Drosophila melanogaster: one gene and its partners. The protein of the gene in region 1 interacts with the protein of each later gene in a pairwise test. Each region holds a gene or a part of one and is shown on either strand. Other genes may lie near its edges.

What was found.
Region 2: the proteins of Tsp96F (region 1) and CG43183 interact in a two-hybrid assay, tested with the Drosophila melanogaster proteins (one large-scale study listed by BioGRID).
Region 3: the proteins of Tsp96F (region 1) and EndoU interact in a two-hybrid assay, tested with the Drosophila melanogaster proteins (one large-scale study listed by BioGRID).
Region 4: the proteins of Tsp96F (region 1) and Nep3 interact in a two-hybrid assay, tested with the Drosophila melanogaster proteins (one large-scale study listed by BioGRID).

The regions. Positions count from the first base shown.
Region 1 is NT_033777.3:25,876,239-25,884,704, forward strand, and holds the start of Tsp96F (tetraspanin 96F), read right to left. Parts: upstream 5,190-8,466; 5' UTR 4,844-5,189; coding exon 4,778-4,843; intron 489-4,777; coding exon 294-488; intron 1-293.
Region 2 is NT_033778.4:8,588,592-8,595,280, forward strand, and holds CG43183 (uncharacterized protein), read left to right. Parts: upstream 1-3,603; 5' UTR 3,604-3,729; coding exon 3,730-3,853; intron 3,854-3,904; coding exon 3,905-3,993; intron 3,994-4,050; coding exon 4,051-4,183; intron 4,184-4,242; coding exon 4,243-4,313; 3' UTR 4,314-4,378; downstream 4,379-6,689. Other genes in the region: CG14752 (uncharacterized protein), read left to right, coding at 1,979-1,999, 2,432-2,493, 2,974-3,229; CG8736 (uncharacterized protein), read right to left, coding at 5,574-6,050, 6,258-6,272.
Region 3 is NT_033777.3:15,904,149-15,912,471, forward strand, and holds EndoU (endoribonuclease U-specific), read left to right. Parts: upstream 1-4,249; 5' UTR 4,250-4,444; coding exon 4,445-4,571; intron 4,572-4,630; coding exon 4,631-4,790; intron 4,791-4,936; coding exon 4,937-5,142; intron 5,143-5,199; coding exon 5,200-5,432; intron 5,433-5,495; coding exon 5,496-5,738; 3' UTR 5,739-6,219; downstream 6,220-8,323. Other genes in the region: CG45105 (uncharacterized protein), read right to left, coding at 6,339-6,815, 6,907-7,670, 7,898-8,022. UniProt on the Drosophila melanogaster protein: Endoribonuclease that cleaves single-stranded RNAs at uridylates and releases products that have 2'-3'-cyclic phosphate termini. Preferentially cleaves single stranded RNA at poly-U sites with CU, UC and AU sites cleaved less efficiently.
Region 4 is NC_004354.4:19,958,042-19,966,518, reverse strand, and holds the start of Nep3 (neprilysin 3), read right to left. Parts: upstream 5,223-8,477; 5' UTR 4,919-5,222; intron 4,831-4,918; exon of another isoform or gene 4,674-4,830; intron 3,344-4,673; exon of another isoform or gene 3,178-3,343; intron 2,565-3,177; coding exon 2,448-2,564; intron 1,738-2,447; coding exon 1,575-1,737; intron 1,514-1,574; coding exon 1,393-1,513; intron 1,323-1,392; coding exon 1,008-1,322; intron 943-1,007; coding exon 448-942; intron 337-447; coding exon 1-336. Other genes in the region: CG12655 (uncharacterized protein), read left to right, coding at 7,152-7,218, 7,619-8,019; CG43784 (uncharacterized protein), read left to right, coding at 8,294-8,477. UniProt on the Drosophila melanogaster protein: Metalloendoprotease which is required in the dorsal paired medial neurons for the proper formation of long-term (LTM) and middle-term memories (MTM).

The DNA of each region.
Region 1 (8,466 bases):
TAAGTGCAACTTTTGTTTTCTTTACATCATTTATATGTATAAGATATACTTTCTGTTATATATATTTAATAAGTACTTTAAATGGCAATACTATTGGATAAATTTTCTGTATTCACAGTCCAATTTAGTTAGGTATAAAATTATTTTGGCAAGTGCATCGTTTTGCCAAACTGCCAAGACATTGTGGGCGAACCTCCGTTGCAATCATATGAGCGGAACCGTGTGGGCCACACATTTGCATGCATTTTAATTGGAATTCCCAGACACTGGTTATGATATTACTTTTCACTTACCGAAACCAGCAGACATTGCGACTCACGACAGACTCCGCAACAGCCAAAGAATGCGCCCAATGTGATCAGTATGCCGATGGCGAGGAAAACATACAGGGCTATGTGATAATGATTGTAGTTCTGTGTCATCGACAGCATAAATGTGGGATCCGTCAGCATCCAAACGGAGGTCACCACGATGGTCAGTCCGATGAGCTGCAAGCGAAAAGAATACAAAATATAGTAGAGCATTACCTATTTTTACACATTTTCGCTGTAATTCTCAAATTGTTGCATCCATCTCACGCTGGGCACACGCGTCAATGACGCCATCTGGCGGCAAGGCGGCAATTAAAGTGGGAGACTGCCCCGCCCAGTTTCGCCTTGCTTTAAACTTCTATAGTTTCATACATATGATGTCAGCTTAGTTGGACGCAGACTATATACATAGCAACTGCTGTTGCGCTTCTTTTAATTTAATTAAAGGCAGTAAACAGAAACCAAGTACAAATTACAATTTTCCCCATTCCATTCAATTTGTTAAAAAAAAAATCAGTAATTCTATCCAGTATACAGATTCAAAGGCAGCTTTTTGAGCTCCGAACTTTCAAAACCCGATAAGAAAAGGCCCATTAAGTTTGAAAATCAATGATGCGATAAAATTTGGTTTAAAGTTAAATTTTGGCCTTCATCGCCAAGACATACTGTATGTATATACATATAGAAGTGGCAAGACATTGATCCCAAGCGAGAATATGAGAATTGCGAGCTCGTGTTATCTCACTTCTCGGGTTATCAGCAAACGAAATATGAACTTTTCTTTGGATTTCCGCTAAAAGAATTCCGGTAATGTATTTCTTCTTAAATTTTCCTACCCAGATATTAAACACTAAACTTGCTATTGCCAATCCATCCACCAGAAAAATGTTGTTCCGCTCGTGCAATGAGTAAGAGAATCTAATATAGAGGTAATGACTTAATGGGTTGGTCGAGGTGTCTATGCAAGTTCATTAATTATTCAGCAAAATTATTCATCGCAGGGAAATTGAGTGTGCGATGAGAGCTAATCAAGAGATGTAAACAAGTGCACATATTACATGGGAAATATGTAAATTTAGAACCACTTAAGAACCGATGGCTAACTGAGAAGCATTTCCAAATACAAAACACTTCTTATCTCGTATTTTTTCTCAGCCCGCAAGCTTTTGTAATTGCCAAGAGCATCAGTGCTTTCCGATAAGATTACGCAGTGGATCTCGCAATAAGCAAATATCTATTTAACTTAAAGATACAGCAAAATATAAGATACAGTTTTTGGCGCCCAGGAAAAACGGATGAAAAAGCATGAGGAAGTCTCGTAAATTTCATGAAAATCTTATGAAATATAAGAGAAGCGGAGACCGGCTTTTATGTGGGTGGTCCACGAAAGAGAGAGCTGCCATAAAGTGAGCGAGACAAAAAGTGTGCCACAAAGTGCACGATATGCTGGCCCTAAAGTTCATGAATGTGCATGTGTGCAGCTAACGGAAAAACTACTCATGGAAACGTAATACAATGTTGCCCCATTCGAGGGCAGTTTATTGAGTAAGTACATTGTAACCAGAAGCCCTTGTTTGCATAGATTTTACTTATTTTTCCAGGTCAGGTTTTCGGGTATGGATCAGTAACATAATCTTGAATTTGTTCATGTGTTGAATTAAAAAAAAAAATGTTTCTGAAGAAGAGGTTTATTCCTAGAGCTCTTATAAAGTATGTGTATGTATATACTACTTTGGATAAACCTCAATTCCCTTATCCTTTTAGGGAACAAAAGTTGACCTCGTTTTGAATCAGTCCCATTATCCCTGAACGAACTGAATCCACGCCTTGTTTGTAGCTCTGTTTGTTGGAATTTTTACGATTCCCCGAACGTTTTCACACACATATATTTTTACACATCTGACACTATGTCGCGTGTCCAGGACAAACAAACAAAAATCCTGCCGAATGGGCCAATAAATGTACAGAGTCCTTCGTTGACCCAGTTTTCAGAGCCGAGGCGTCGAAAGCGGAAAACGAGAGAGCATTTTACTGCTGCTAAATTGCAAAAAAAAAAATAAAATGGGGCCAAAAGGCAGCTGGGCTTGCATTGCATGTCCAGTCACAGTTTTGTCCCACAATTAACCGCATCGATGGCAAATCGCAGCCAACAGCCATCATGCATCAGCCATAAGCTGAAAATACAAACTGAAAAATGAATGAAGCGCCACTCATGAATAATTGAGTGAAAAATAGCACAGCGAATTAAGTATGTAGATGTGACATGTCACAGCGAATTGAAAATAGATACAGGCCAGCTTCGTTACTTGGAGAAATATTTTTAAATATTATTTTATTCACAGCAAAAGATTACATTTTTTTCAGGAATTTAAGAATTCTGCACTATGGAAGTCTGACTGTGCTGAAATAAATGGTTTTTTTAGTGGGTGGACAGGATAGGATTGTCAGATGGTCGACCGAATATTTGGAAATCTTTCAGTTTTGGTCACTGTCAACTTCAATGACGACAGCGCCGGCCGTTTAGCATTTTAGACGCTTATGGCATAGGCCTCCCCCAGCATCTTGGATGTGGGATATCGGCCCCATTGGAGCGTCAGCGTCCTCAGAGATCGTGGCGTTTGATCACGATGCCCCACGGCGACGATGAAAATGGAAATGTTTGGAAATCGATGCACAGTGGAGAGCGAGATTCAAAACTAATCGGACAGTGGTCATTTTTTGCGAAGTTATATAAAAATACTATTATTAAATTTATTATGGCTTTGTGGGGTAATTGATAACATGCCCTGGCTAAGAATAGCCTCAAAACAATGTATAAAAAGTCTTATATAAAATAATATCTGACGCACTTTCATCCATAAATCGCTCTAAAAATAGTTCAAACGATTAGTGAAACGAACTGCATCACAAACACATCACAATTTCTATCGCTCATTGTTCCTCCACTGAAATCAAACACACCACTGTGCATCCAACAACAACAACGATGAATACTAAAACATCACAGATCAAGGAACATTACACAGAAACCAATTATTGGATATAATCTTATTGGGATCGGTTAATTTTAATTTTTTTTACATGACATATATACAATAAACGAAAAATAATTGAAAGGTATTCGAAAGTTTCCAAACACGAAACTTGGCTAGGCATCAGTATTTTCTTTCTGTGTACAACAACGAAAAACTGAACGGACGCGTAAGTTTGTGTTGTTCCTCGCCCGTATTCGAAAATAGCTTTTGACTAATAAATACTATAGACAGAAATCGAAAAAAGGCAGCAACAATCAACAAACGAACGAAAAAAAAATTAGAAATCAGCCCGCATAAGAATCAAAATTTTAAATTTGTTGCCCAAAGGAAAAGCGAAACTGATTTCGCAAGCCGCGGAAGACAAGAGGAAACCCCAAGAAAAACTCAAGGAAACTCAAAACAAACGCAAACAATCGCTGTGGCAGATAGTAATTGAATGGAAACAATTGAAAGCCTAACGAGGCTATGTTGAAAGTCGAAAATTGCGTAAAACAACAAGCAGATAAGTTGGCCAAAGAAAGTAAAACCCTTTTTTTTGGGGTGAGGAGAGGTCCTTTTTTACCGAATTAAGCCAACCGAAGTTTGTAAAAATATCAACGGCACGTATACGTTATAAAAATAATAAAACAAAAAAAGAGAGACAGGAAGAGACAGAAGCAAAAGAAAAACAACTGAACAAACATGTGGAGGGAAAAGAAAACAGTGGGAGGTGGGAATGGAGATGCTTAAATGTTTATCTGTCTGTGTGTGTGTGTGTCCCCTCCCACAACGGAACTTCTATTGTTTTTATGCGGGAGTACGAGCAGAGCGGTAGGGAGTGCGAGCGGGAGATGGAGAGATACAGTGATGTCGCTTTTAAAAGCCAGTTGAAGTTTTGAAGTTATAAATGGTAGAAAATAATTTAAAGTCAAATAGTTCATAACAAACAAAACCGATTTGTTTAATTTCAAAAAGAAAAACCCTTCTATTAATGTTTTTAATTAACCGCGTACTTGAATATTTATATAATCTTGTCCATTTAATGTTTTTAAGCCCGCTCATTAAAAAAAAAATATTTAAGTTAATATATTATTATATTTATTTTATTATTTATTTATTTATATTTTTTACTTCCTTTTCGATTAAATATTTCAAGCCGTACTTAAATAAGTTTCAACTTATGTTTTGGGCACCTCTGGGATCGAGAGAGTGGAAAGAGGGACTGAAAGAGCGGTAGGACTCCAAAGAGCGTGCGCACGGCTCCTCCCTCCGCCCGCGCGCCAAGCGTGAGAAAGAGGGGCGTAGGGAATACACAACACACACACATTCGCTCACGCAACACCCACACACACGCGCGCGAAAAGGAGGTCCGTGTGTTCCAGTTGTTGTTGTGATGGGAGAGAACCGAATCTCGCATTGTTGTTGTTGCTGCTGCTGCTGGAATCTACATACCCAGAATAAAATGTTTATAAGGACCATCAGATATTTGACGCACGAACAGCAGCCGTTGAGACCCATGGCGCGGATTGATATTCTTAAATAGGTAACTCCTTAAAAAGTAGCTGCAATTTAACTGGTTTTTCAACCACTTGGAGATGCTCTTTTTCCAAGGAACCCCGAACTGCAGTGTCGCCTGCACTTTTCGACCTTTTGCACTTTTTCAAAACACCCGCTCGATTGTACTATATTTTTCAAATTTTTTTAAAATTTCCCGTGCTAAAATCCACCGATTTGAGCCACTGTTTGCGCGATTGGCCGTTGCACCCGATTTGTTTTAAAAATTTTATTTGTGCATCGAGGCGTCCGTCCAACGTAAAATTCTTGTATCAGTGCGACCATTAGCTCGGCCGTTCAAATATACCAGCGGGTATAGAAAGGCTAAAAACCGAAAAGTGGTGACCCTTAGAAGATACCAAAGAAGTGGTTGAATAACTTTGATGAGGCTTAGCATGGCTTGCAACCTGCTTGGATTTGCAGCCTATACGCAAACCAAAGTGGCCTATCGATATTTTGGATAAGTTCTATTGCCAATTTTCCCAATAAAATAAAAACTTCACTTGAATGTTAAAAGTAATTTAGTTTCAGTGTTTACATAATGTTCAAATAACCTTTTGATTGTTATTATGAAAGTTAAAAATTAAAAATTTAGATATTCTAACTAACTATTATCCCCAATGTTTCAGCTATAATCACCATATTTAAAGTAGATTTCATTTTAAAGTATAAATTTGTGGTTGTTTACATTATTTTAACATGTCTATTTAATTATTACTATGAAAGTGGGTAATTGAAAATTAGGATATTCCAGGTTTTTGATTTACTTTGGCTATGATTTTCCCAAAATATTTAAATCTGTAAATGTAAACAGTTTGAAATGTGACCTTAATAGTTCATGCTTTGTTCATTCTTCTGCGAAACGGTCACACTGTTCGCGCAGGCGAAAATGGCCTAAAGCGTGAAATGTTTAATTCGTTGTTGTTTCTCCTCCGCAATAGTTACTAATAGAAACAAATGCAAAATGGCTGTCTAACGTTTAAGTGCAGCGACCGCCGAAGATCGTGGAAATATGCATGAAAAGCGGCTCGCAGGCAAATGAAAGGCGCGTGAAAATGTAGCAGACACCTTTTTATCGCGAAAACGAACATCGGTGCAAAGGGAAAAACAAAAACCAAGGAAAATACAGCCAAACGCGAATGTGAATGTGAAGGCAAAGTAAGCGAAAAGTCCCCCAACTTTTTTGGGGAGTATCGAGTGCACCACATACGTTTTTCAATATATATTTCGATTGCATTGAAATCAGAAACATGACAATTTCCCCCCTTCCCTTATTGCTGTTGTTGTTGTTGTCGGCTTGTTGCAAGTTTGTGTGAGTGTGTCTTGTAATTTTGTTACGCAGTGGAGCGAAGTTGGAGTTTTGTGGAATGGAAATGGAATGAAGTGGAACGAAGTGGAGTGTAACCAAACACGAAATGGAAAAACGAGGAAAAAACCTTAAAGCGCAGCCTAAGCTTTAGTCGTACTGAAAATTTCTCAAGCGCTGCAAGCCAGTCTTTGCCAAAGTAAAGCCCCTACCTCCCCCCCCCTCTTTTTGCATAATAAACGAAAAACGTTGCGCCCACTTTACGCACTTGTTTTTATGCTTTCCGCGTTCAGTGCACTTAAAAACTTAATTGGTTCCCCCGTCGGCGGTGCTAATGTAGCGCATTTCACTGTTTTCAACGTAAATATAATTATATTAGCAAACGTTTACAAGCAAGATTGGATTAGTAATATGTAGTAGCTTGCTAGAAATCCTAATAAAAATGTGAATAATAATATATACGGTTTCATTTAATATTTTGAAAAGTTTTAATAGAAAAAAGTACAGCTTTTCTAAAAGCTACCCTTATATTGTGTTTCTTTCTCACGAAATAAACTACTGTGTAGAAGGTAGCGGTAAATATTTATGTTTAAAGTCCACTCTCTTCTATGTTAGAGGTATACCCCTCGCCCCTTGGCCACTGCGAATGCTGTATCTTCGCCAATTTCACTTTCACATTCGTCGTGGGCAGTTACAGCGAAGCCAATTGCTTGGTACTTCTTTTATTTTGTTTTTGTTCCCCACTTTGGGGCGTTTCAAATTAGAAAGTGTTTGCGTGTGTGTGTGCGCATATGTAAGTTTATGCGTGAGTGATGCGAGCGGCGTTTTCTCAATGATTTTGGCTAATTATGTAGCTCATTTTCGATAACCGCTTTAAACTGTGAAAATTGTGTCAACTTTGGATACTGTAACTTTACACCCGCCACATAATTTCATTTTAATTAGCGCTCGTTAACAGTTTTCCATCTCCCCTCTCCATTTTGTCGCCCTCTTGAAATTGCAATGTGTGGGAAACTTAATTTGTTGCATCTAGGAGGTGAAAGAGGGAGATAGAAACTGTGGGAGACGAGAAAAATTAAATGAACAACACTAATTCAAATGCAAAATGAAATGTACAGACACAGATACAGTTGTGTAACAATTGTTAATTAATTAACAGAAACTTTTAAACTCAATTTTTGAAAGACATGAATATTGAATTCTATATCAGGATTATTTAAAGCACTAAGCAAAGCGTAGTTAAAATGGATTAAACCTGTTTTCAAATATAAAATGAGAAGAAATGTGGGTTATTTGGGCTCAAACAAGTTTTAATTAACCTGTAAAAATACGTGACATTTTGTATATTTCTTGATTTCGGAGCTTTAAAGAATCCCTATAAATTTGGCCATCGCTTCATTTATACATTATTACATACATATGTACATATGTACGAATTTCAATCATTTACATTCCGCACACAAACATGAAAAGAGACACCAATACACATGCACCTACATTTGCCAACAGTCAACATAAATTAGTGCGAGCAACGGCACTTGGCAACATGCAACAATAGCAACAAAAGCGACATGATTGAAGCAACAACAACACCGACCAAGGAAGTTGCCAACTGTCCCGCTTTGTCTCTCTTATTGTCATTCGCAACTATCCCGCTCTGTCTCCCTATTGTCATTAGCGAGTTAGCAGAGCGCCGCTCTAATAACAGCGCCTTTACATTTCCATTTGCCAAGTGCAACAACCCTGCGTGGGTGTATGAGTGCGTTGTGTGTGTGAAAATACTATAGAATTGGTGGCAATAACAATGGAAAACTGGCATCGTGGAAAACTGGGTAACGCTTTTATAATTTATTCCAATTTTAACTGCTTTTTACGGCCTTCTTCTTGTCTGTTAATTGTTGTTATTGCTGCCTGTAAATCCCATGCGGACAATCTGTTATTTTCTCACACCGGTTGTTGTTATTATAATTTCCCTACACAGAAAACAAAACGTGTTCAATTTAAAAAAAAACGTTTCTTATTGTTTTAGAGATATCTATTTGTGAAATATGGAAATTTATGATGAACGTTTTTGATAATTATTTTAATAAAATTAACTTTCAAAATGATGTGGTATAATATTTTTCTCTGTTTCTTCACTCAATGTCTAGAAAGGAAAGGTGCATTTGTAGCTTTAAATAAGAAATGGGGAAATAAAATATAATTTCTATATATAGACAGAGTCCATACATGTGTATGTTTATATGATATGTCTGGACGCGTTTTTACCGCTATTTTTAAA
Region 2 (6,689 bases), on another chromosome or scaffold:
CTTGTGTATGATAAATGGATTCCAGATTCCAAAGAACCCCAAGACATAAAATTCAATACGAATCAAAATGTATTTTAGATCTGTTTAAGAGGTGGAATAATACTACCCGTCGTATTCCCTAATCCCATCTCTACCATCGAATCCTCGATCCAATTTCTTTCCGTACAACATCTGGAGTTGGTCCGAGTTTTTCGAGTGGTCCACATTCACAGAAGTCAAAACTCACCCAACAGGAAGTATTTGCATGTGCAGATCCCGGGATCCCGATCCAAACCAAACCAAACCGAACCGAGCCGATTCGCCAGCGCGTTCGCAGAAAGCGAAAGTAATCATCCACCGCAGCGGCCACCGGGTGGATTATTGTTTGGTTTTGCCCACGGGCACGCATGGTTAGAAGGGGCGCGGGTTGGTCGGGTGGCCGGGGGGGCGTGGCATGGAAGCTATGGCATATTTATCGCTCAGACAAATATCCATTATGCAATTTGGCATGGCTAAAACGAGCAATTTGCCGCAAATGCAATAACATCCCGGCGAACGGGGTGGGGAAAGCCGATGGTGCGGTGTTTTGGTGGTTCGATGGCTCGGTGGGGCAGGATGGCAGTGGTGCGCCCTCAAACGCAGTAAAAGCACACTGGCCTATATATACACATGAAAGCCGAGTGAGTGAAAGAAAAAAACAGCGAGTGATACTAATGGTTTAACCCGTTTGGAGCCACTTTTTATTAGGTTGAACTATAATACTCTGTTTATCTTGTTGCCAGACTAAAGATATAAAATCTTGTGGAGACTTAGTAGTGCATATATCACTTACCCCATTTTGATTATAGATTATATTTCTGAACGGAAGCTCCTTGTTCAGCCTTAAATGGGTTAAGCACGCCGCAAATTGAAGCTCTTGACAGTTGAGTTAACAGCACAGCACGGCAGCAACATGCAACATGCAACAACCAGTTGCAACAGCAGCTGACGTGGCCAGCGTTATGTCAGGGGCATTGTGGCATTGTAGAATGGGCAAAAACAATACAAATCCACACAAACACAATCAAAATGGAATTTCTTCAAAATCGTGTGATGCATTGCTTGATTAGCGCCACATCTACTGCTACTGTTAAGTAATTGCCCGAAATGCGTTTTATTGCAAATTTACGGCGTACGTGTTTCGTGCTCCATGCGTCGTGATGTGAGTTTCGCTGGGGATACATCCAAGACTGGACTCCTGTAGCTCCAACGCTGACCCACATCAATTGACACCAGCGACGACAGTTACCACTATTACCACAGAAGACATTCAAGGTCGATTGGTGGAGATGTCTTCCAAGCGATATGGAAGGGCCAAGAAATTTGGATTAGCGTGACAACTTTGTTTTGTCTCCGGCCGCACACGTTCACTTTTTGCGGCGGTCTACAGAAGGCCGCTAAGTGATCCAGTCAGCGGCGGTATATGTGCTACTTGGTCATGCATTCGGAATGATTTTAGCTCCACTCCGCGCTCTGTCTTGCGATTATGATTATGAAATGAACGTAATTTGCCCCGTATTACACAAAGCCCCGCCAAGTCAAAGTTCGATCGTCTGCCATTGTGGACAACTGAAGCATGGACCACCGCTCCCAGTCCCTCTTTACCACCGACCAGAGGGTCTTAACCCCTCGTAAACAGATGCCAACGACGGTTAATACAAATCACATATCACTACACCATGTTGGCCATGTTAACAGTCGCGCGTCCACTGTTATGCTTATTTTCGCTTGGCCGTTGAAGTTGCTGCTGCTGTTGTTGCTGCTGCTGCTGCTGCTGTTGTTGCTGCACCGACGTCACGTCTTTCTCGTGCAGCGCAGTCGGCTTGCAGCAACAACACAAAGCGCTGCTGGCGCCCGGTATAAAACGGATGAGTCGCAGCCTGTGGTTATCAGTCACCACCTGACAGTGCTCCGGTTTTAGTATCGCCTTTCGAGTGCAGCAGAGCTCAGCCCAGCCACCATGTCCGTCCTGAAAGTATTCGTAAGTGCGACAAGGATAACGTTCGAAAAAGTGTTAAGCCAAACCTCCGCGGAATGGAGCTGAAAAGGATTAAACTCATGTGGACTATCGTGAATAAAACTAACCAACTGAAACATAACAAACTCACTGAAAACTGACTTCGATAACCGAAGTATTGGAAATATACCACCAAGATCGCCTGATGGCTTAAAAAGTCTCGAATAGATATTTCAAGAAACTGCGAAAGCATTTATTTTGCAGAAATATAAATTCACCCAAAAATATTAGTTTATGTTTATCAATCGCGGACTAACATTTCATTAGATTACTTAGATTTCACCAGAATTGAACATAAATTTTGAAGTGCCAAATTAAAACTAATCACACTGATTAGTTAGCTATTTGCGTTAATCTAGCCGGACCTAACTTACTAACTTCCTTATCCCCTTTCAGATCTTCGTCGCCCTCTTCGCCGTGGCCTACTGCGCACCCAGTCCCGGCTTCTTTGGCAAACAGTGAGTATCGGCGGCGATCTGCACCTGAACTGATCCATAAATAACCCGAGCGAATCGATAAAAATACCCATTTCCCGCTTTATGCTAAGCTAACGAGCGGTCGCATGGCTTTTTAAACGCTGCGACTGCTCCGTGGGTCTATGAAATATGTGTCCGATTGCGATCGAATTGAGCAATCAAAACGCTTGTAGCACTTAGAGCCCCAGCCCCCTCCAGCAGTCTCTATATGGTGCCCACCACTGGCTACCATTGAACTTAGCCGATCTCGACTTGGCTTGGCTCGCGGCTTAGGAATTTCGCAGGCGGCGGTTGGCATTTAATTCAGCGTAATGCGCGCATAATTGTGCGAATCAATTGCCAATTGCCAATAGCCAATATGCAATAGCCATGTCTGCCAAGACGCTGGGTTCAAGCAACTGATTAGCTAACAGGCGATGGTACATGGCATTCGATCTAACCGATTTCACTTTCGATCCGCAGCGAGCACCACACCATCCACGTGCCCTACAAGGTGCACACGGTGCACCACCATCACGTTCAGAAGGTCCATGTGCCGGTGGTGAAGCACGTGCCGGTGCCCATTTACAAGGAGGTGCCCGTGCACCACGTCCACCACGAGGAGATCCCCGTGCCGGTGCACCACGTCCATCACGAGGAGATCCCGGTGCACCATGTCTTCGATGACCACCACGACCACCACGGCTGGAGCTCCCACCACGGACACGGCTGGCTGTAAGCCATCTGCCCGCTGGCCTGCTTGTCTTCAAACCCACCCACTCAGCCAGTCCCATCTGAAGCAGCCTGTAAATACTGTACAATGCTAAGTTAATGAATGTAAATAAATCACAATTCGACTGTACACAGAACAATCCTGGCGTATTTATGGCAGGATTCCCTGAAGTGGAACCTTAGTGTTTGATGGCTCACAAGTAATCTAATAAACCAAATACTTTTAATGGGAATGAAATAACGATTTTGTTATTTGAGGCTTTTTAAGTTGTTGCGATTAGGATAGATGGTTACTTTTGAAGACTCGAAACTTGCTTATCTCTATATTTATATACTATATAAGATGGTAGAATATAACCTACTTGTTAAGTAATATTTTTCAAAAGATTTTTGTTATCAGTGACAGAACTTGTACACATAAAATAAAAACCCCATATACTCAGATACTCAAATACTAATACCCTGATAGCAAATAGCCACAAATAGACACACTACCACATTTGCACCATGATATATCTACAGAGTTGCTGCTGCTGCGTGGATCTGCGAATCGGAACCATAGCAATAGGGATTTTGCACATTATAGCGGATATCCTTGGAGGCACATTTGTTGCTTTATTTGGGGAGTCGGGTAAGTGAAGCAGGATACTTGAGAGCAAGGATATGATCCTAACACCCATAGGTATTCCCGATTTGGGTCACACCCTATTCATTATCTTCGTTATGCTGCACATCCTGAGCTGCGTTTTCCTGATCATCGGCAGTATACGGGTGAGATACCAGTACAATTGATTAGTTTCAAATTATAATACTTATGATTTGATCTAGTTACGGAGCAGCTGGATGCTCTTCTACATAATAATGACTATGATCATGGCGGTAGCAATGCTCATATTGATAGTATCCGACGTCATACTCGCCGTTTGTTTCTGGGTAATGATCACGTATGCTATAATGTTCTGTAAGTAGCTAAGTGTATCTAAGATTTCACAATCCCTTAATTTTTCCCCATTGCTTCAGTTATTTGCCTTTATTCCTGGCTAGTGGCGTACTCTTTTTACGCCGCCTTAGGAGGACCTCTCTTCATCTGAATGTGATCCATTGCCAAGTAATAAATTGTACTGTGATTGTAGCAATAAAGTACTTGAATTTTTACAAATCGATCTGCATTTTAAGTGGAATAATCATCGTAGAGTACCGAAATAACTATATCTCATCTCATTTGGTTCAATCGTTTTGGATTCCAAGAATTCGAATATTCCTTTTCATGCAATAAGTTTCCCATAATCACTTCCCATTACATTTGTTTGTAAAATTACTTTCGTGAGTTGCACTTTTTTCACACACTGCCAAAAAAGAGCAAAAAAAATGGGGCAATGCTATATTGATTATAAATAAAGCAATGATTGCACGCATATTTCAGGTGAATTGGTCGGGAATGTGATAGGTTCGATTGGATCATTGCTCCATTAGTTAATCCCACTGCAAGACTGTAATTTGCAGTTGCACTTGACCTTGGGCCGGTCTCCCAAAGGCGGCAATTAAGCCGAAGTTTTGCAAGAACGACTTTCACAAAGCACTCACTTGACCAGCTCCGACTGAGGTCGACCGCCAGTCCGCGTCCGCTCCGCTCCGATCTCTCCCTTCCTACGATCTCCACGAACCCGATCCGATCCGATCCGGTCCGGTCCGTCCACTCCGCTCCTTGCCCAAGTACTTACTGTGCTGCAAGTCAGGGGCGTGGCAGGGCACATTCTCGGGGCATGAGCTCTCTTGGTTCCTAGTTCAGCACGCTTTTCAGCTAGAACTGGTCCTAGGGCAGTGGAAATGTTTAATTAAGTATATACCTTTTACACTTTCGGAACTCTTATCAATTTAACTTGAGAATTTGGGATATTTCCGTCATATAATTCAAGCTTAAAGTAGCAGGATCATTCCTTTCTGTAAATCAAGTTTCATGGAGCAGGATCTTAACAGTCTTCTTTCATACCTCATTTAGCGCACTTGACTGAATGAGTTTCTGATTGTAGACAGTTCAAATTACTTTATTTAATTATAAATGCTTACTTTGGTCAATTAATCTTTTCTTCATTAGTAAGAGTTCTATGAACCAACCAACAATTACATTTTGTAATATAGTAAGAAGTTGTAGTTGCGAATAGAACGATTTGTATACCCCCATGTATCTGCAGCTATCAACCATAGAAAGTCCCATTTCTTTGACCAACATTTTGCATTTATTTCGGCGCCAACAACAAAGAATTTCAGATTAATGTCCACTAATTGAGAACTGGGGAAAGGCGAAGCGTTAAAGGAAGCTGCGGCTGGCCGCAAGTGAGCCCTAGGCCGCCCTAGTTGCAGTACGGGAAGTTGGGGCACTGGTGCGGCGAAACTCCGGCGGGATACAGACGCTCCGTCCAGCCAGGTAGAGGAGGAGCTGCCACGGGAGCACCAGCGTGTCCGGCGTTCACGTCGCAGTAGGGATAGTTGGGGCAGGTCTGCGGATTGACGCCAGCTGGATACTTATCGCCACCGGGTGCGGCAGCAGGGGCTGCGTTCCACGAGGGCTGTGCCTGCCACTGTGGCTGCGGCTGGGGGTTCCACTGGGGTTGAGGTTGCTGCCACTGTGGCTGCGGGTTCCACTGTGGCTGCGGCTGGGGGTTCCACTGTGGCTGCGGGGCACCCCACTGCGGCTGCGGATTGTGCAGGCGCGCATTATCACAGATGGGGAAGTTGGGGCAGTCCTGCGGATTCACGCCAGCCGGATACTGGGCAGCAGGTTGGTGTTGTGGCTTGGCCACCGCCAGGGCCACGAAGGTAGCGAAAAGCTTTGAAAAGATTTTAAAAAAATATGGAATTTTTAAATGTAATAAGATACATCTGTAGTTTGAAAAATATCTGGAACTTAGGATCCTCGGATCTTAAGAACTTCAACTAAAATGTTGCAGATTTGGATTCCAGCTCCACTTAGTAGTTAAAGGAACTTTTTCAGACGCTATCCTTGTGGGCAGAAACTTGGCTCAAAGGGCACTTACCAGCTTGCAGAACATGTTGGCTGAGGTGAGTGGGTGGTTGGTAGTTGTGGAGTTGGTTCTGGTGTGGGGCTTATGGTAATCCTTGCCGAATTGGACTATGGAGTCGTAGCTCAAACTTCCAATTGGGTTCCTGGTCGGCGCTGCACTGCTGCTGCCGAGCCCGGCCATCAAGCTTATATAGCGGTGCTGGCTAGAACCGACTCTTGGCCGGGTCTCAATCTCAGCCAGAGTCTCTCGGCCAGACTCGGTTTCACTTTCATTACTGCGGCTGCTGTGCTTGTTGCTTTTGCTATTGCTGCTGCTGCAGTGGCTTTGCTTTACTTTTGCTTTTGTTTCTGTAGTTGACTGATCTCGCGCATATTTTACTTGATTGGCCCAACAGATTATTATGAGTCTTTGTTGTGGAGCGCGGACAAATAAATCGAACGGGGC
Region 3 (8,323 bases), about 10 Mb from region 1:
TTCAACAATAATCTTCTATTTGTTCTTATCAATATATCACATGCACAAGTGAAAGATTTAGCCTTATCGTGGCGCTGTACTATTTTTATAAATGTTTATTCACTATCACTACCTTAATAAGCCTCCATCAGTAATTTTCAATAAACCAAGTGGCGGACAAACAAACAAGCACTGCCAATTTATACCCAACAAAATGCGTTGCATTCAAATATCACACCGCACACGGATTGTTTATTTTGCTACTATATGAACGGGAATTGTAAGCAACGTCGATTTACGAATGCAATCACTCTACTATAAATATTTGCATAAATATGGATGGGATAGAACACTATTTTCCAATTCACACTCACAGTTTATATCAAATGCCAGGCAACTGCACACGACGCCGTTAATATTTGAACTGAATAGAATTTCTAGCCCGACTGGCCTTTATAAAAGACTTCCGAGCGGCAACAACAACTGACACAAAATAAACGCAGCAAACGAAGCTACAAAAGTTTCCGAGCTGATAATCTTCGTACACTATCATCCAGAGAGGTCAACTTGGGTGAAAGTATACGTATGGGTCTTTCATTTCGTAAGATTTGGTAAATATTGTCTGAGACTGCTTGTCACAACATTAGAACGAAGCGAATCAATAAAACGCGCGCTCCGAATTTTGAAGCTTCGGAGTTTTAGGAGTCAGGAGATTAAAAGAAGCAGCAAAATCCAGTTTTCGGCTAGACTACAAGACATAATTACTTTAAGTATAAAGAACTAACCTTGATAATCAAATTTACCTATACCTAAGCTTAAAAAAGGCAAACATTGTATTCGAAAATATTAGATGATTGTAACAAAGCAAACAATTCGCTTCACTGTGAAGAATAAATCAAATGCTAATCCAAAACATAATGTATCAAATTACAATATTTGTAAAGCTCTCCTTTAGTACACTAAATTCTTCTACCAGGTGGATCCAATCCAAAAGCAAACTGCAAACAAATAACACCTTTCGTGACGAGCTATTTGTTTTCCCGTGCCTTGAATAATTATTGATCAAGGTTAATTTAAATATAGCATGATGGATATCTTGGTATTAGATTGTGAAAGTTAATGTCGTTTTCGTCATTCCATCTTTGGCGACAATGTATTTAATTTTATTTACGTTTTAAAGACTATTTTCAACTAATTGTAGGAACTGCAGTCCAGACAATATAAGAGTAAAATCTTGTTGATATTAAAAAAAAATCAAGCCCTAAGAAAATTTCGCACTGCAATTATAGGTGTTCAATTATACAATATTTTGTTCACAATTTATTGTCAATTTTTTTTCAAATCACGTCACAGTTTCCTGTTGAAGTTTTTTTTGTTAAACACAGTATGGTTTAAGCCCAATTTGGAAGTAATTATATTACAGTCGAGACTTTAATACAAATGACGCTATATTCGCTGAAACAAACAAATTAGTAAGTGCGTGATTAAATTATTTGTTTAGTACTTCCAGATGAGAGATTCAAGACACGATGTTAGTAATTAAAAGAGACTTTGGATGAAATTCCTTAAGTACCAAAAATTAGTAGGCTTGCCACGTGCCATATGTTCCCACAAAAATATGAATTGAATTTTAAATATCTATAGGTACTAGAAGTATTGTGGAAAAGAATAATTGGTTTCATTCATGCACGTTTAAAGACTGATTCAATTGTAAACCTTTTTATAAAATGAATTAAAATATAAATGATTATCCAAGGTAAAACAGAATATTAGTTTTTCAGTTACATTTTATTTATATTCGTTTGGCTTAGCTTTATTTCTTTAGGAAACTAATTGTTTTCCTACTTTGACTGGCCGCATAAATTATACCATATGCTGCACATTGTCATTTATGTCCTCAAACTTGAAATTTGGCATGGGGGCCCAACGAATCCGCTCCTGAGTAAACAAAAGGCTGCTCGCGAGGTGAAAACAAACCACAACAATGATCCCCCAGAGAGCGCCGAAAACGAAAATAATTGGAGAGGGAGAGCGTGTTATCCAATTTTTCGGGGGAACTACTTGTGTGTTCAGCAAGCATATGAGCGGCCAGATCCGCAGTGTGGCAAACCCGCTCAGTATCGTTTCAGCCATAAAGGTAGTTGGTCGGAAAGAGCAGATAAAACTCGATCAACGCGAGAGTTTTGGCTGAAGATAAACGGCGAGCATCGGGAAAGTAAACAGAGGCGCAAAAACAAATGTTTGACTAATCTTAATTGGATAATTATATCACAATGGACGCAGTGCAGCAGCAAACAAACAGCACTAGCAACATCGACAGCGCCAAATGCCAGAAGCTAAAGAGATTTGTGATCGTAGGCTTGCTGATCACCATTGGCATTTTGAGCTGGCACTTCTACGGTGAGTTGTCTCTTTAAGCTCTCTTCCGTAAGCGAACGGACAACGGTTTTTTCTCTTAGAGTACTTCCACAGCAAGCCGCTGCCCAAAACGCCGGATGACGTCTTGACCCTCTCGAAGAATCTGTACGCGGAGGAGACCGAGGTCAGTCCATACCTCTACAAGGTGAATCTCCAGGGGAAGACCACTTCAGGTGCTCATGACGATCGCGCCCCTAGAAAGTAAGTACCTAGTTGCGCCGCCTAATGAATTTTATCATTAAAATATTTAATTTGATGATAAGGCAATTTAATTAAAATAATTATTAATTCATTAAATACTAAAGCTGTCTAATAAACATTATTTCATATTTCTTGAAATTCATTTCGTGAATTCATTTCGTAAGATTTGGTAAATATTGTCTGAGACTGCTTGTCACAACATTAGAACTGAGCTAATCAATAAAACGCGCGCTCCGAATTTTGAAGCTTCGGAGTTTTAGGAGTCAGGAGATTAAAAGAAGCAGCAAAATCCAGTTTTCGGCTAGACTACAAGACATAATTACTTTAAGTATAAAGAACTAACCTTGATAATCAAATTTACCTATACCTAAGCTTAAAAAAGGCAAACATTGTATTCGAAAATATTAGATGATTGTAACAAAGCAAACAATTCGCTTCACTGTGAAGAATAAATCAAATGCTAATCCAAAACATAATGTATCAAATTACAATATTTGTAAAGCTCTCCTTTAGTACACTGAATTCTTCTACCAGGTGGATCCAATCCAAAAGCAAACTGAAAACAAATTACACCTTTCGTGACGAGCTATTTGTTTTCCCGTGCCTTGAATATATTGATATATTGATATATTGATCAAGGTTAATTTAAATATAGCATGATGGATATCTTGGTATTAGATTGTGAAAGTTAATGTGGTTTTCGTCATTCCATCTTTGGCGACAATGTATTTAATTGTATTTACGTTTTAAAGACTATTTTCAACTAATTGTAGGAACTGCAGTCCAGACAATATAAGAGTAAAATCTTGTTGATATTAAAAAAAAATCAAGCCCTAAGAAAATTTCGCACTGCAATTATAGGTGTTCAATTATACAATATTTTGTTCACAATTTATTGTCAATTTTTTTTTCAAATCACGTCACAGTTTCCTGTTGAAGTTTTTTTTGTTAAACACAGTATGGTTTAAGCCCAATTTGGAAGTAATTATATTACAGTCGAGACTTTAATACAAATGACGCTATATTCGCTGAAACAAACAAATTAGTAAGTGCGTGATTAAATTATTTGTTTAGTACTTCCAGATGAGAGATTCAAGACACGATGTTAGTAATTAAAAGAGACTTTGGATGAAATTCCTTAAGTACCAAAAATTAGTAGGCTTGCCACGTGCCATATGTTCCCACAAAAATATGAATTGAATTTTAAATATCTATAGATACTAGAAGTATTGTGGAAAAGAATAATTGGTTTCATTCATGCACGTTTAAAGACTGATTCAATTGTAAACCTTTTTATAAAATGAATTAAAATATAAATGATTATCCAAGGTAAAACAGAATATTAGTTTTTCAGTTACATTTTATTTATATTCGTTTGGCTTAGCTTTATTTCTTTAGGAAACTAATTGTTTTCCTACTTTGACTGGCCGCATAAATTATACCATATGCTGCACATTGTCATTTATGTCCTCAAACTTGAAATTTGGCATGGGGGCCCAACGAATCCGCTCCTGAGTAAACAAAAGGCTGCTCGCGAGGTGAAAACAAACCACAACAATGATCCCCCAGAGAGCGCCGAAAACGAAAATAATTGGAGAGGGAGAGCGTGTTATCCAATTTTTCGGGGGAACTACTTGTGTGTTCAGCAAGCATATGAGCGGCCAGATCCGCAGTGGGGCAAACCCGCTCAGTATCGTTTCAGCCATAAAGGTAGTTGGTCGGAAAGAGCAGATAAAACTCGATCAACGCGAGAGTTTTGGCTGAAGATAAACGGCGAGCATCGGGAAAGTAAACAGAGGCGCAAAAACAAATGTTTGACTAATCTTAATTGGATAATTATATCACAATGGACGCAGTGCAGCAGCAAACAAACAGCACTAGCAACATCGACAGCGCCAAATGCCAGAAGCTAAAGAGATTTGTGATCGTAGGCTTGCTGATCACCATTGGCATTTTGAGCTGGCACTTCTACGGTGAGTTGTCTCTTTAAGCTCTCTTCCGTAAGCGAACGGACAACGGTTTTTTCTCTTAGAGTACTTCCACAGCAAGCCGCTGCCCAAAACGCCGGATGACGTCTTGACCCTCTCGAAGAATCTGTACGCGGAGGAGACCGAGGTCAGTCCATACCTCTACAAGGTGAATCTCCAGGGGAAGACCACTTCAGGTGCTCATGACGATCGCGCCCCTAGAAAGTAAGTACCTAGTTGCGCCGCCTAATGAATTTTATCATTAAAATATTTAATTTGATGATAAGGCAATTTAATTAAAATAATTATTAATTCATTAAATACTAAAGCTGTCTAATAAACATTATTTCATATTTCTTGAAATCTTCCAGCCTCTTTGAATTGCACCAGGATCTGCTGGCCAGGGATGCTAACTCCACCACCGCTCTGCTAATGAGGCTCTTTGACAACTACGAGTTGGACGTGGCTGTGCAGGAGCATCCAACGCCGGAGCACGTCCAGGAGCAATATGATTTCCTTAGGGCCGTGATGGGTACGCGTGTGATGAAGCTGACCATGCGTTTTTTGGTACACAAGGGTGAGTAACCTTTAAATGAAATAAATCAGACTAGTATACCTATCCAATACCATCTAGATATTGTGAGCGTAGAATATGACGATCAGCTGCGTCTGCTGCAGGAGCTGTGGTTCACTCCCTACTCCAGAGGTCGTGGCATTGTGGGCAGTTCCAGTTTCGAGCACGTCTTCATGGCGGAGATTCGGGACCAGAAGGTCCTGGGCTTGCATAACTGGCTGTACTTTGCAGATCAGGAGCAACGTGGCAATGTGGACTACAAGGGCTGGCTGAACCACAAGGAAATGGGAAAGGTAAGGCTTAAAGACAAATGTAACAGATGATCCTTACAAAAGGGGATTGCTATATTTCCTCAGCACAACCAAATGGTTCTCAGCGTTCGCTACACGTTTCACAACATCAATAAGCCAGTCAACGGCTTCTTTGTGGGCATCTCGCCCGAACTGGACATGGCCCTGTACACCGCCTGCTTCCTGGCCACGGCGAAGGAGGAACCCTGCCACATCCAGTTGGGTCATGCCTCCGCCACGATTGTCTCCCACGAATGGAAATGGAACGGTATGCGCCTGATAGGAACCGTCTATCCGGACAGCTCCTAGATCACTCCAACCACCCATCTCGCAACCTCAGTCAAATTACTGACATTCGATTCGGTCGCACTGTTACCTCATCGAAATCAGCAAAAGGCTAACCTCCAAGCTCAAAGTCAAGTTCATTTTATTTTGCCACTTTATGAGTGCTTGGCCCAGTTGTCGCTGGCAATTGACGAGGATGTCAGTCAGGACATGAACAATGCCCATCTGCCTATCATTTTGGTTGTTTTGACAGGATTGCGTGGCGCAGAGCACTTACATCACGAAGTTGTTTATTAGTTCTAACATTAATAGTTATTACTGGCGGAAATTATGCAAGAGGCAAAAGCGTTTATTTTGAAGGAGCGAAAGGAGGAAAAGTGAGTGTGACGTTTTAGTATTATGCAGTCATTAAGCTCACCCTCGAAATGGATTCTACCCACTATAATTTTTATACCTTTGAATCTCTTGAACTAGCTAGTTGAAAATAAAATAACAAAATCAACTTATTTAAAATGGATTTATTAGTTATAAAACATGAATTTCCCTTCTTCGTTTAATTATGGAACACATGAGTAGAAGTACGTTGATTGAAGAAACTGTTGCTGGAGAACTCGGTGCTGACCCCTATTCATGGGCATCTAGATGGCGCTCGATGGTGACGGTCTCGTTGGCAATGTCCGCCTGCTGGACCACGGCCGGTGCACTCGACCTTCTGGCTGTGATGATGGTGGTCTGGGCCGGGGACAAGCTCTCCTCCCCCGAACCATTTTCAGCCAGGACCACAAAGGTCTCGCTGAGATCGGCCAATTCCGAGCAGGTTTCATCGTTGGACGAGCGCATCAGGCTGGGACTACTGATGGAGCACTCCAGCGTCAGGCGATCCTCGCAGTCGGGACTCCAGCTACTTTTTGCCGGCGGCTGACGCGGCAGGCTGTTGTGGCACAGCGGATTTTCCGCCGGCGACTGCTCCAGCCGCAGCTGCTGACCCCACAGCTCCACTGCCCGGGCGCGATTGTGGTCGGCCCGTTCCGGATACTCCTGTTCCGGCTGCTCCTGCTGTTGAAACTGCAGGTGTTGCTGCTGCTCCGGTCGCTCCTGTTGCTGGCGGGGACGTGATGCCCGTTGCCGCCGCTGCCAATGGCGGTGGCGATCTGTTGTAGTCCGTGGCCATTCGCTGGGGGGCAGCTGGTACCTGGTACTGGGACTGCGGCTGTGACTGGCCGGCTGCGGTGCCTCCTGGCGTGGCGTCATACTGGTATCCAGACTGTCCATAGTCAGCTGCTCCATAGTCGTATCCGGCTCCCGCATCGCCGTAGTCATACTGCTGCCCCTCGTACTGCTGCTGGCCATAGGCATTGGGATCATAGGCACTGGCGTCGTACTGCTGCTGATCGTAGGCACTGTAGTCGGTGTTATAGGCGGCCAGATTGGCGCTGCCGGCATTGGTAATGCTGCTCTCTGCCACAGGTTGCGACTGTAGCTGCTGCTGCTCCGCCTGTTGCTGCTGCTCGGCCTGCTCCCGTTCCCGCTCCCGCTCGCGTTCCCTTTCCCGTTTTTCGCGCTGCTCGCGGAGTTGCTGGAGCTCCCGGTCGCGTTCCTCTCGCTCCCTTTGCCTGTCCACGTCCTGCTGTTGCTGTTGTTGCTGCTGCTTCTCGCCCAGGCCAAGGTTGTCCTTGAGATTCTCGTCATCGTTATCCTGGAGTCCATAGTCGGCGATGCTGCTCTTTCGTCCAGGGGCTGTCGATCCTGATCCTGCTGATCCTGCTGCTGCAGCTGCTCCTGCAGCAATGCTGGCTGCTGTGGCTGCCGCTGCTGTTGCGGATGCAGTTGCTCCATCGCCCAAGCCAATCCCTCCGGACGTGTAATCACTGTCGCTGGCGCTGTTGTGTGGTTGTGGGGTGCTTTGTATGGGTTCGATTGGGGTGCCATATGTCGCTGCCTGGTAGTCGTAAGCGGCTGTGTGAGTACAAGAATTTTGATTAGAGTGGATCGCCAATCAAGTGTTATAGGTGTGTGGGTGGAGTCGTCGTGTGAGTCGAGGCTCTAAATAGGGTCTTTATCGGGCAGATCCGCCTCCTTGACTTCAGCTTCCGATTCTGATGGAGTGGTTAAATCAGTTTAGAATTAGGGACTATGGGATGGAGGTGCTCTACTTGGTTATTGACGGGAATTGGGGAATTTACCTTTTCCGGGTACTAAGCTAGTATAATCGTGTGGTGAGCTATCTAATTTACTCATATGCTCCTCATTACTCAACATTCGATTGGACAGATACTCTAGATTCGATTGTAAAGCAGATATTTCCTCTCTTCAAGAAAGTTTAAATGTAGGGAAACAGATCAAGATACGGAAAGATAGAAAGAGAATCAGATGGAAGAAAGAAAGAGGGAAAAAGATATTAGTTAAATACTGTTAGGTACCGTCACGGATTTTATTGGGTGCTCCTCCCGCATGTCCTCGGAGCTCAGCTCCGGGGATCCCTGGTGCGCTGGCAGTTGTGCCTTGTATTTGCCCCAGATTTGCCTAAGGCGTGACATTAGCTGCTCGTTTGTGGCTCTCAGCTGCTGCTTCTCCAGACTGTGGTTCATCAAAAACAGAAAATATGTCAA
Region 4 (8,477 bases), on another chromosome or scaffold:
GAAATCTGGTTGGCCTTCTCGATGGCCTTCTCGCGCGTCTGCTTGTCCACCCAGGTCAAATTCTGTAGATTCATCTTGAAGGCCTCGCGGATCTCGGCGATCATCTGCTCGGCCGCCGGCTTCGACTCTCCATGAAATGCCTGACGCACAAAGATAGCACCCACGGCGAAACCAACCACATTGTTTGTGTCCGAGACGCAGTATCGCCAGATCTCCTCGCCGCCATCCGATCCCATGAGGGCCTTCCTCACGCCCTTATAGGCATCCCGGAATGGTTTGGACAAGCAACTGGTCAGCGTGCGTACCGCCTGCCAGACGAGATAATTGTTCAAGGTGCTGAAAGGATCAGAGATCAGATAACTCGTAAGAACTTGAATAACTTGAATCAAAAAGGAAATGGTATTCATAGCGCCAACGGTCATACATTTTCCCTTTAATTTCACTCACATTTTTCCCTCCTCGGTCTGTTCCATCTTGAGAATGATGTCCGATAGGTTCTTTAGGAAGTCGGGTGCGTAGACGACAACCACCTCGTCGTCGGTGACCCGGCGACCCACCATCTGCATAGCATTGTCAAAGTGATCCGTCCAGTTGAGGAACGGCGCCAGTTTGGACAGCTGTCGCAGCTGCATCGGATGATACATGGCCTCCTCGTTGCGGCGATCCTCCAGCGGAATGGTGATATTGGCCAGCTTCTTCTCGAAATTAATGACGCCGATCATCTGAGCGCGGGCATCCGATTCGTTGGCCCCGAGCAGGACGCACACCTTGGTCATGTACTCAATGTACTCGTTGAGCACCTTGCGGTGATTGTCCGTCTTGTTGTTGTAGTAGTCGGCGGTGGGCAGCGTCAGACCGCCCTGATCGATCTGGATGACGTGACGCGAGGAGTTCTTGTCATCCTCACCGATCGCCCAGCCAAACAGGCAGTTGAAGTTGTACCTGCAGAGATGAATGCATGTCAGCTACAATATATAAATCGCCATTAGAAACCCTGCTTAACTCACTTGTTATGAAGAATCTTTAGAGTGTGTCCCATCGTCCAGTTGGCCACGTTGTAGCCGCTCTTGGTCACGTTCCATCCTCCGATCTGCAGCAGTAGATCGTTCATGGGCTTTGCCCCCAACTTCTCCATGTGCTCATCCGCATCCAGGCATGATTCATAGTAAACCTTAGCCTTCCGCTCCGCGTCCGACTTAAAGCTTTTTGCCGGCTTCTCCAGTACGTTACGTATTATCAACTGGTTCATCTGCTCCAGCTTGCCGAACGTACCCCACGTGGATTTCCCCTCGGGAATGGGGTTGTTCTTGATCCATTGATTGCTGCAATTTTAAGCAAATAGTTACTGGAACTCCTCTTGAACAATTTGAATTGAATTTTTAGTTAACGCACCAGGAATATCCATAGAAGTCATCGCACGGATCCACGGTCACATCGATCGATTTAAGGATCTCGCTCGAGGCGAAGATGCAGTGCTTGTTCAAGCAAGGAAGCTCATTGCCGGAAGGACAATCTGAAAGGGAGACGATTGTGTATCCTTGGAAATTCCTAGATTACATTCACCCAATCCATACCTTTTTGGTGCGGCTGGACGTGAAGGACGTGCTTGGTCGCATCGCTGCTGCCTCCATCTGTGAAAAGGACGATGAGCAGCGTAAAGATCGTGATGGCCATCACAAAAGTCGTGATGAGCAGCCATTTCTCCGTCTTGTTTCTCGAGCGCCAATTCCATGTAGCCTGTGAAATGAAAACGCCGCATTAGCCACCAATCATTCTGGCCTCCACATGGCGGCACAAAAGATTCGCCCCATAAATCTTTTCCAGCGAATTGTGTGTTTTGTAAACAAGACGACGGCGGTTCAAATGAGTTCAAACTTGTACACATTGGGGTGGTATCTACATGGGATACATTTCGTAAGCGTAAGGCACTTGCCTGCTAATTTTTCCATATATCGCTGAGATATAGATAAATGGCTTTTCAGAAGCCGCAACGACTCATGAAATGCAGTCTCCAAAGACAAATATTGTACCACACTGTTTAAATTCTATAGTAATTTAACTTGCTTTTAGACATTTTGTTGATACAGTTGTATACGGTCAAGTGCTTTCGTATATCTATGGAATAATATCACATGAAGTTTAAATTTATTTGAACAACGAACCGCCTCTCAAAGCCATCGTTACCCTGTCACCAGATAGGGTATTCATGTCAGTTCGCAGAGGGAAAAGCTCACACCAACGCGCTCCCACTCATAAGAGCAGACTTTTCACTGTCAACTGGCAACCTTCGAGCAAATGAGAAAAGCGCTCACTTTGGCCCCATTTGCCACTCGTTTCTGGGTCATTGCCACAAAGATAAAGCTGAAGCCCAACGACAACTAAGTGGCTATCCGACTGAATTGCATTGCACGGATGCACGGTGTTACCCCGACAGGTTTCTTACATACCCGGGCGGTGTGGTAGCGTATCTGCATGCCCGTATGGCCGGTCGCTTCGTTCAATTGAATGCCGCCGATGGAACTCGAGTCGTCCTCCGTGAATTCGGTCTGCTTGTAGCGCGTCATCTGGAATGAGAATCGAATTGTTGCAAACCCATCAAATTGCCTACCAACGTGTATCTAATAATCTAAATATGTTGCTGCTATCTGTTATCACATGTTTTGGTCTAGGGCATCTGATAAGTAGACCGAAGCTTTTCCGCTCGGATTGTATAGATACCGTGCGTTCTTTAGCGCTCACTCAACGCCTTGTGCTTTACATTTCTCTCACATCCCCCACTGCTGCCCATTTTCATATGGTGCTCTATGTACTCAAAAGTGTTAACCCTTCAGCAGTCAGCAGAGCATTCCAAGTTTACGATATGCCTTGGGTTTTCAGAAAATGTGCATTCATCATAGGAACAATTTGCAAATTACCCAAACTATATGGAAATATAGAAATAGAAAAAGGTAATGCACAACAACTTAAGAGAAATATATGTATAATTTTGTACTAAGAGTTCCTCGTAATCTTTGGACTATTTTTACTCGCTATCTAGATATCCATTCGAAAGAAATCGCGAAGTCTGAAACATGAACATGAACAAAACCCATTCTCAACCACTTGTCAGCATTCCATGTCTAACTAAGGTGCCCAACTAAAAGTGAATGGGATACAGGAGCTGAAGCACGGACATACCGAACGGCAGTCGGAAAGCCACATTTTGGTTAATCTTTGTGTATGGGGAGAGCACGGTATGCGGTAGTGTGTTTATTTTTCGGAACTTCGACGGGAGGAGCTATACGAAAACAGAGCGCGGCAACGATACTATCTGTGCTTAGCCCATGACCGCTCGCAAGGCACTGGCGGTCGAGCCCGGAGAGCTTCGGAACTCAGGGACTGCGAGTTCCGAGTTCTGCGACCAACCAATTCAACAATGCCCGCCGAAAGCAGAAAACATCTACGGGCCAACGGCGCGTTATATTGGATAGTTTTGCATTGTACTCAAATTAATTGACTGGCGGCTGTGTGCGTGTTTACTGCGGCAATATGTGCCAAGATGTAGCCGAAATGGATATACTGGGCGCATTAAAATGAAAAGGAGCGGCATATGTATTCAATTAACACAATGCAAATATACACCAAAAGATTCGGCCTTGCTTATGTGCACTTCTATATATCTTCTATATCAACCCACCCATTTTCGGTATGCCGAATAATATTCTAATGTCGATTTGGGATCGGGGATCGGAAAGGCGCCATATGATATGATTTCGCACTCGATCTTGTTTGCCAACAAATTGGTATCTTTAAGCTTTCGATATAGATTTACGAACGTAATCTGGTGTCGGACAACAAGCGATATAAATAACATATGATGGATGGGGGCGATATGATATTGCAGGTATACAATAGGTATATAATACACGTGAAAATGGATGGGCCACATAGAACCACATTTAAAAACACATTAAGCAAGAGGTATCCCTCAGTTTGGACTGCTTCTCGCCACGATTTTCCATCGCAATGTAAACACAGGCTGCACACCAACTGACATTTAGCAGACTGTTGAATGTAAACACGCATTAAATGGCGTTACGCCTAACGAGCCCTCCTTTTGCCACCAATCAAATCGGCTAATGTATTGAAAAACAAGGAGGTAGAAAACCATTGAAAGGTTCGACTTAATGGGCAAATCAACGGAATTGACGTCTTAATACTTTTATGGGAAATATATTAAGTTCATAACATGATTGAATATGATGCAACTTTAGGTCCCATTGAAAATGATTAACTAAGTTATTATATACCTTAGTCTTATGCTCGAAATAAGGATATTTCACTCAACCATTTACTACGACTATTCTACCAAAGCGTCCATCCAAGGGAGTTTTAATGAACCGAACGGAGCCCATGTGAAAGTCAATGATGGCTACTTCGGATTCTCCGAGTTCATAAACGGCTCTTCATGCCATTTTTTTTGCAGGGCAACAGATGATAACTGCAGGGATTCACCGAATCACCACCACAATGGGATTTCACTTGAGCTGCACTGAGTTGAAATCTGGTAGAATGAGTGCTCTCGACTCGTCATTATCTGTCGTTATGCCACCTCCTTTCTCGATTTGGCTGCGAGTATCCTGGCTATTTGGTATACCATATGGTAGCTACTTCATTTGTGCAGCTTTCCTTACAATTTCTCTATACCAAGGACCATAAAATCGGAGCAGCTTAGATGTGTGAGTGGTGAGAGGGTGGTGTGCCTGGGATGCATTTATTCAAATGCAAATGAAATTATGACTTTGAATCGGACTGTTTGGAAGTGGTGTGGTGTGGTGGGGTGGTACTTCTGATTGCACATACAGCACACTCACACACTGACACACTCACACACACACACACACACGTTCAGCAAAAGAGAGGCGCGCTCTTGGCCTACCTTTGCGCTCATTTTCTTTGTGCGCTAGAAAGAAGGCAATGCAACTTTTCCAGCTCCCTGCGCTCGCTTTTTCTCGACCCTTTGCCGTTTATTGGTGCACTTTCGATTAAGTTTGGCCGACCCTCGATGGGTATAACATTCGATCGTTCAGTGATTCATTTAAAACGCGCTTATCTGCATTCCGCTCGCGGTCAAACAAACCGCTCTGAGCCACAAAAAGGCAACGGTATCCACCAACACTGCCAACTCGAGCCACTGACAGCCAGCTCCAGCACCAGCAGCAGCGGTAATCGCACTCGAACTAGCCTTTTCTCTCCAAATTTCACTCGGCGCTGGGAGTCGGGTGGTTGGACTCCCTCGAAAATGGAAAAACCATAACACAAACGTATTAGATGAGCAAAACACACACAAACAGAGAGAGAAATGCGTGGCAGGAGGGAGCGAGTTGAACCCATTGCCGGAGAACGTGGTCCACTGCGCAGGATCTGTTTGAACGGTGGCAACGCTTCGCGCAACGAGTTGCCAGACAATCACAGTGCCCTTCAACAAGCTATCGGTTTAACCCACGTAATCGAGTATCCAAAGCTAACGATTCTCGTAATTCTCAATTAATCAGCTAAATTTGAATACCAGTTACTCGTAGAGTAGAAGGTTATACTAGATTCGTTAAAAAAGCATTGTAACAGGCAGAATGAAGCGTTTCGAACTATATAAAGTATATATATTCTTGATCAAGATCAATAGCCAAGTCGATCTAGCCATGTCCGTCTGTCCGTATCTGTCCGTATCCGTAGATCTCAGGTACTATAAAAGCTAGAAGATTGAGATTCAGCATACAGCTTCTAGAAACAATGAATCCTGTGCGAGCAATGGCTATGAATAATGAACGTCAATGAACATGTCAGTCGAATGACAAAGTCACTATTCAATTTCACTATCTTCGGCAAAGCAGTAAAAATACAAGCATAAGGTATTGAATAGTCCATTAGCATAACCCTATCGGCCGACCTAAATTGCTTTACGTCACAACTGAGAAAGCAAACAATTCGCACATGCCCACCAATTGTATTGTGAGGCTTTTCGTTTTCTACATACATGTATGTACATATGTATATGTATGTTTGTATGTATTTTCCGTCGAACGGTAGCCACAACGTACCTGCATTGTTTGCCCGCCTCCGAACGCCACTCACCTGAAAAGTGCGAAACGGACGGACAACAATACACACATATATAAATATATATATATATATATATATTTGTTTATTTATATGCATATACAACATGCATATGTTAATATTTAGAAAAATATGTATGCAAAATATACTTGGTCATAAAAGATCAACGAAGGTTCGAATACAATTCGGGCGATCATCAAAGCACTGTGACTCGGCATTCCCCATTCGCCAGAAGATCTATGTACATATATGTATGTATGTATGTATCTCGACTTCTGGGGCAAACCAACATGGGAGCACACCTTAACCCAAAATGACCCCGGCCCGTGTCGTGCATATCATTAATGACCCAACCAATTATCGTGTTCTATACAGCAAAAAAAAAAAAAAAAATAACATCTCGACACTCGAACATGAAAGCACTTGAAGTTGCGTGTTCTCGTTTGGGAAAATAAAGTACGACCGCGGTTTTATGTTCTTTGATCGAAAAGAAAATAATCTCATCTGCATGTGGAACAAATAAACGATGAATGGATATGAACAATAAGAAGAATTAATACCACTAGTATAGCTAAATTTTATTTTGAGGATTCCTTAATAAAGCAGACGCAAATTAATTGAGAAAAGTGCGTCGACTAAAAGATACCCATTACCTGCAGCTAACCGAAACTATTTTGTTAATCTCAAGTCACAAGTCATATCTAATTACAGAGTGAGATAAATACAGGTTGTAAACTTGTAACAGAGAAAATTTTTGTGCAATTCGACTATATGATACCTAGTGGTAATATTTTACCCAAAAAGATTTAAGATGTTTAATCTGTTGTTTCGATTTTCGATTTCAGTGCTAAATAAAGTGCCTATTTTGATCATACCCCACCGAAACTACAGCTCCATTCAAATTGAGTAAATAAACACCAAATAATATGACTCAGGGCAGCAGAAAATCGCTATTGTTACTCATAACATGAGAGCCGAGCTTGGGAATCGAGTTTAAAACCGTCAATGGCACTTTGGAAGCGGTTTAGTTGAAGTCAAACGCGCATTCGGAAAACATGTCGAATTTCAATCGCATTCTGATCGTCATTGTTATCGGATTGGCACTAGTTCATTTTAGTGCTGGTGAGTGAAACGCTAACAGAACATATGAAAAATCGCACAAAAAATACGATAAATAAACATACGTATAAACCTCAGCGGCTTTTCCATGGAAAATAACACATCGCATTCGCACACACGATACCATTTCGACGGTGCCAAGTAAACAAATTCAATTTCAACTTCTAATGGAGAATTAAGCACTGCGATATTATCAGCAAATTATTGATCTCTTCTATTTGAAACCAAATATGAAAGCAAAATTTTTAAACTATTTGATTTAAAATGTGTAATAGTATTAGGTCTCATTTTGATAACGACCATGTAGCATGTTTGGTCCACGAGAAGTGGCGGGTACATTGTGGTCAAGGAAAGTTACCTTTTACATGCGTTACTAATTCAAGCACATTTCATTTGAATCCAGTGGATGCCCAGGCCGGAACGGTGCACTGGAACAATGGAAATGCGGCCGGCGTTGGCGTCTATTCGAGCGCCCAGTCCGGCGGGATGCATCCGCCGGGAAGTCTGAGTGGCCAGGATCCGCAGTTCAGCTACGGATACGCCGGCATCGATTCGCGTGGTACCTACGGTGGAGCGGGTGGCAATGGAGCCTACTACGTGAGCGGTACGGACGAGCACGGTCGTCCCTTCTCCTACAACAACCAGGTGGGCCATCCCGGCCAGCCGGGCTACATGGGCGTACGGCCGGACCCCAACTACCCGGGTACCTATGGCTACCAGAATGGCGGAGCAATCATCGGCAGCTCGGTGGGCGTCACCGTGACCATAGCACTTGGATTGGCCTTGGGCGGCATGAGATTTTGATGCGGTTGCAGTGTGGGATCGTTTTTTTTTTTTGTGAATTAGTCTCTAAGCTTAATTTATGTAAACTTTTCAGTTGTGTAAATTCTTTACTAAATTTACTAAAACATAGAATGCTTTTTACTGGAAGGTGGGTTGTTGTCAGAATGAATTAGTTGATTTGATTTTGGTAAGCCCAGAAGGCTTAGAGAACTACATTGAACATTACTAAACAAAAATTTATTCATAATAGTGAAAGTTTAAATTATTTTGTAAACGAAGCAAATTTGATATTCAAATGTCGCAAAAAAAATCGAATATTAGCCACCTGGTGATCCAGTGCATCGACGCCATGGGTGGCTTTGCCTCCAAGGAGGTGATCCTAAAAGCGGTGAGCACAGCTACAGACAAGAAGTTCTGGAAAATGGGAAGGCGAATTGATGACGCCCTTGATACGCTAATCGTTGATGGTGTGATCCGCA